Saccharomyces cerevisiae S288C: one gene and its partner. The protein of the gene in region 1 binds, or shares a complex with, the protein of each later gene. Each region holds a gene or a part of one and is shown on either strand. Other genes may lie near its edges. The genes, in order: MIM1 and MIM2.

Evidence for each region.
Region 2: MIM1 (region 1) and MIM2 share a complex: the UniProt entries of both Saccharomyces cerevisiae proteins name them as parts of the MIM complex.

What each region holds. Positions count from the first base shown.
Region 1 is NC_001147.6:273,298-276,048, reverse strand, and holds MIM1 (Mim1p), read left to right. Parts: upstream 1-1,695; coding exon 1,696-2,037; downstream 2,038-2,751. Other genes in the region: LAG2 (Lag2p), read right to left, coding at 1-1,092; ribosome-binding protein MDM38, read left to right, coding at 2,325-2,751. UniProt on the Saccharomyces cerevisiae protein: Component of the MIM complex required for mitochondrial outer membrane protein import. The MIM complex cooperates with the receptor TOM70 in binding of precursor proteins and promotes their insertion and assembly into the outer membrane.
Region 2 is NC_001144.5:339,445-342,211, forward strand, and holds MIM2 (Mim2p), read left to right. Parts: upstream 1-1,880; coding exon 1,881-2,144; downstream 2,145-2,767. Other genes in the region: CHA4 (Cha4p), read right to left, coding at 1-29; lysophosphatidic acid acyltransferase ICT1, read right to left, coding at 300-1,484; ERG27 (3-keto-steroid reductase), read left to right, coding at 2,366-2,767. UniProt on the Saccharomyces cerevisiae protein: Component of the MIM complex required for outer membrane protein import. Involved in import of the subset of proteins with multiple alpha-helical transmembrane segments, including UGO1, TOM20 and FZO1.

The DNA of each region.
Region 1 (2,751 bases):
TTCAGGATCGTTGTCTGAGCCAAATCCGTCGTCACTGTCGATCAGATTGTCGCTACCATGGTCGTTTTCATTTTGCGTCCTTGTCAGCGAGTCGTTTAATATGCTGAGCATACCAAACAAACCCTCTCTTAGCTGGCTAATAGTCGAATCTGACAATAGAGGCCTATTATCCTTTAGCCTACGAATAGAAAAATATGGATGGAAGTTATGAACTATTTCGAGAACATCTTCGACGTTACATTCTTCTCCCATTTGCGGGGGGAATAGAACCGGTAATAGCCGGTTAGTAAATAATTTATCGACTATGGGGCCAAATTTGTACCATATTCGAGAAACTGCTGCTAAAGTATTGTACTTCATTTTGGGGCATAAATTTTCCAGGTCCACCGGATGAGTTAATTGCGTAGAAGTCAAAAGTAATTTTTCTGTGATCCTATCAATGCTTTCATTTGTATTCGTAGCAGAATAGTCCTGCGCAATTGTAAAAACGTCATTCAAAATATCAAAGGGCAGTGTGACCATTACTGAAGGACTTGCCGCGTCTGAAAAGAAGCTAAATTTTAGCAATAGATTAAGGGATTCTATGTAAATTAGCATATTGCTTTCAGAAAGTGAATGTGAAAGCTGCGCAGCATCCACATCACACATATGCCTTTTCATTTCAACAATAAATTTGGAGATAAACTCTAATGAACTGTTTACTGGTTGGTGGTAATCTAAATGAGGGGAGTTTTCAATTTTTTGTAACACATTTCTTAGTGTCTCAATCAGAACAAAAGAACGATTTGCATGTATCATGCTTTGGTTTAATAAAGGGTCGCATATCAAGCTTATTACCCATCCCAACTGAGCAGCTGCAGGGTCGCTGATCATAGAAAGAACTAAATCGGGGAGCACTTGAAACGATACTAGGTTGAGAATTTCCATGTCTTGTTCTTCGACCAATACCGGGAGCAGCAATTCGTTAACAAGAGGAGCCAGCTCATCCTCTATGTCGTTAATTTTAAAGTTTTGCCTTAAAAGCATATATTTAAGGTCATTGTCCTTAGTGGAACGATATTGCTCAATCAGTTTACTAATGTGCAAGCTCATTACTAGTTGCGGTAGAACGTGATGTTGATATAGCTGAGTGCAATGTAAACGATTTTGCTACCACTTGTGTAATGTAGAACAAGCTAACCTTAGCTATGTGTAAAAATTTTGTAGAGATGATTCAATAAATGTCACGAAAGGATTGTAGAAGGATAAGAAGCAAGAATTCACAAAAAAGAAATGCGTCACAGACAGGATTCGAACCTGCGCAGGTAAAACCCAATGCCTAATTGCTTTTCTGAGGAAATAGCAGGGCATCGCCTTAACCACTCGGCCACTGGGACACGATTACTTACAATGCACAGCAAGAGCACCCCAACAGTACTTTAAAAACTCTCCTCCAAATATGTCTGCAACGTGTACTATTTATTATAACGAAGATAAATAGTAATACCAATGGCCCATAAAAGCGTATTATTCCACTACCATCGGCCTCCCCTACCACTGAACAAGAGGAATGCGTTACGAGATGTAATCACTTATAACGAAGTGGTATATTCCGCGCCATAAGAAACAGCCATACACTTTACTTGAACAATAGAACATCACTGTAATATTAGAAACATCACCCCCCTTCTTACGAAACTGCCACAAGACAGAAATATGACAGAGGTTGTGGGATTCTGGGAGAGCGTGTCAGATGACGAATCAGAAGACAAAGACTGTATGGAGGTGCAGAACACAGTGAGTGCCGACGAGAGCCCACTTGTGCAGAGCCTTGTATCCTTTGTAGGCTCGTGCTCCATCAACCTACTTTTGCCCTTCCTCAACGGCATGATGCTCGGCTTCGGCGAGCTATTTGCTCACGAGCTCTGCTGGAGATTCAATTGGTTTAACCATAGAAACAAGGGGTATAAGGTGTACCCAGAGTCGCGCAAAATAGCAGCATTGAAAGAGATTTCAAGCCCTGGCACCCGTGGGAGGGTTGCGTCCAAGTTCCTTTAAACGATCACCAAAGCATTAGCAACCTACATAAATAAATACACACACACATACGGTAGATTATACGTAACCACATAACTGGCAATAGTTTCACAAGCCATAAAGCTAGCCACGGTATTACCCTCAAACGACCCCGTCTTGGGCGATAATCCCGCGGTGAAAAATTATTCGTTGAATCATCTCCAAATAAATGGATCAGTCATTGCCACGGTGATGAATATGAACAGCGCAGTGCATTTCAGGCAGCGCATAATATACGCTATCTCTATCACTACAGATAATATACTAAGATGTTGAATTTCGCATCAAGAGCGTCATGTGTGACAAGACGTCAAGCAAGCTTGTATTTTGTTAAAAATCAAGGCCCTAGATTAATAGCTTCCACTATTCCCTCGTGTCATTGGCCTTTGAGAGCGCAAGGAGTACAGCCCAACTATCCTTTATCTTTGAGATTTTATTCTACTGATAAGTCGAAAAGTGTTACGAAGCCCGTAGCTCCAACATCCACCGATGCTCCTGCCAAGCCCAAGGAGACGCTTATGGTCAAAGTGAAGCACGCCTTGAAACATTATGCTAATGGGACGAAACTTTTGGGTTACGAAATCAAAGTTTCTACTAAGCTTTTGATTAAATTTGCTCAGGGTTACGAGTTGTCTAGAAGAGAGAGGAACCAATTGAGGAGGACAATGGGCGATGTGTTTAGGTTGATCCCTTTTT
Region 2 (2,767 bases), on another chromosome or scaffold:
AAAGGTGGAGGTGAAGGCTCCAACATCATTGCTGCGATTGTGTAGAGCTTCGAGTTTTAAAAGGGCTATTTTTGAAAACTTACGGCGATGTCAACTTGTTGATTTTGCTTTGTTTCGTTCGGGATGGATCGGAACATCCGCTCACATATGAGAGGTTTACACTCTTGATGTATATGTTGCTCTATCTTGTATACGGTTAAGTAAAGTGATGTATTATGTATATGTATGTATTTATATATATATATATATATATGCGTGGTTTTCCATATTGTATTTTTCTTCTCTACTCTATATAGGCATTACTTTGACAGGAACGAGACTAAAGAAGAGGCAAAGTGCTGCGGGTTGTCCAGGAAAAGATTATGGCCAGCATCAGGGACTTCAACGTAGCTAGCCTTTGCCTTGTTTTTTAGCATTGATTCAGTAGTCAAGTAGCCCGCATATTTATCCATCCAATCGTGCTCGCCATACATGAACATGACAGGCGTTGCTGGGTTCAAAAAACGAACGTTGTTTATTATCGGATCTCTAGCGATCAGATTCCTTTCAAACAAATGGGTGAACACCTTGATTGTCTGTGGTTGCACCGTCTGGTTCTTCCCGACAAATGAGTGCAAAAGATAGTCCTTATATATCTGATCCGGAACTTTTACGTATGCGGTGGAGATGTAGTTCGAGCACAATTTGGAGCCTATGGGTCCCATCCACTTCAAAACGTTTAGCTGGTTTTCAAAGATAAACCGCGGTACGTTCAGCTTTCTTGTATAATATCGGGACGATGGGTCGGTAAACGTAAGTGGATAGGTGGTGTTGGGCTCCCATTTGTGGGTGATAGCATGTATACTGTTTTCCACACCAAGAGGAGATATGAGACACAGTTTCTCAATGGAATCAGGGTACTTGAGGGCGTATTTGAATGAAATATATCCTCCGAATGAATGGCCCACCACGTTTATTTTGCGAAGCTTGTTATCCTTCCGCCATTGCTCTATCCTGTCTACGAAGTAGCTTTCGTACTGCTCCAGGTGTGACTTGATGTCCTCTGCTGGGGGGCGCTTCTCTATCACAGGGATTACTACGTCATCTTCTATATGCTTAAACCTGAGAGACTTGATCTTCTTGGTTTTGTTCACTTGCAATGCTGGCGCCTCTGAGGCACCATTGGCTGGCAAGTCGATGGCATATAGATCTTTAATGTTGTCTGACAGGTTCTCAAACGTCCTGTAGAACGCCATCGACGAGGCAGCGTATCCATGGATTAGTACTGTAGGCGTGCACACTTTGTTCGCACGCTTATTGTGGAAATGCCACTGGTTAATCCCGCCTGGAGTCATCGTGTTATTAACGGACCCACGCACAGTGGTGCTATCCATAATTTGCTGCTGCAGGGCCTTCAGGCCCTGCACGCTAGCACACACCTTGGCGTCTGCAGTAGTGGTCTCCTTCTCAGTTTTGCTGCACCATTTGAAAGTGTTTGTCCACATTCTACTGAAGAAAACTACGCTTACGTATGTATATGTCCTGAACAATGAGAGAAAGACCTGCGAATATACTTCTACTACTCCACGTACAAAAAAGAGCACGCTGCTTTATTTATACTTTTGTGCCACAAGAATGATCAACATCAACATAAATATCAACTAGTATCTGCAACACATCTGCTCCACGGAACTAAACCCGTTGAGCAGTGCCCCGTGGAAACGTAAACTATCGCAAATTGGGATTAACAAGCCAAAAACAGCCAAGCAAGATTCACGAAACCGCGCCTCGTTTGGACCCCGAAGGCCCATTTAACGGCCGGCCGTTACAAGCAAGATCGGCAGAGCAAACCACTCCCCAGCACCACAGCACATCACTGCACGAGCAACAATAACTAGAACATGGCAGATAGCGAGGATACCTCTGTGATCCTGCAGGGCATCGACACAATCAACAGCGTGGAGGGCCTGGAAGAAGATGGTTACCTCAGCGACGAGGACACGTCACTCAGCAACGAGCTCGCAGATGCACAGCGTCAATGGGAAGAGTCGCTGCAACAGTTGAACAAGCTGCTCAACTGGGTCCTGCTGCCCCTGCTGGGCAAGTATATAGGTAGGAGAATGGCCAAGACTCTATGGAGTAGGTTCATTGAACACTTTGTATAAGTGTTTGTTGTTTATGTATCCGCATATAGCAGTTATAACAGATAAATGGCACTTTTCGCACACCCGTTGTTTTATCTCCGATAGTACGTGGGCCTTTATTTATGGTCGTTTAACGAAAGAACGGCATCTTGAATTGAGCAGGTATTTAAAAGATAGGACGAGAAACAAGCACATGATCTGTGTCGAAAAAAAGTAGCAAAGAGAAAAAGTAGGAGGATAGGATGAACAGGAAAGTAGCTATCGTAACGGGTACTAATAGTAATCTTGGTCTGAACATTGTGTTCCGTCTGATTGAAACTGAGGACACCAATGTCAGATTGACCATTGTGGTGACTTCTAGAACGCTTCCTCGAGTGCAGGAGGTGATTAACCAGATTAAAGATTTTTACAACAAATCAGGCCGTGTAGAGGATTTGGAAATAGACTTTGATTATCTGTTGGTGGACTTCACCAACATGGTGAGTGTCTTGAACGCATATTACGACATCAACAAAAAGTACAGGGCGATAAACTACCTTTTCGTGAATGCTGCGCAAGGTATCTTTGACGGTATAGATTGGATCGGAGCGGTCAAGGAGGTTTTCACCAATCCATTGGAGGCAGTGACAAATCCGACATACAAG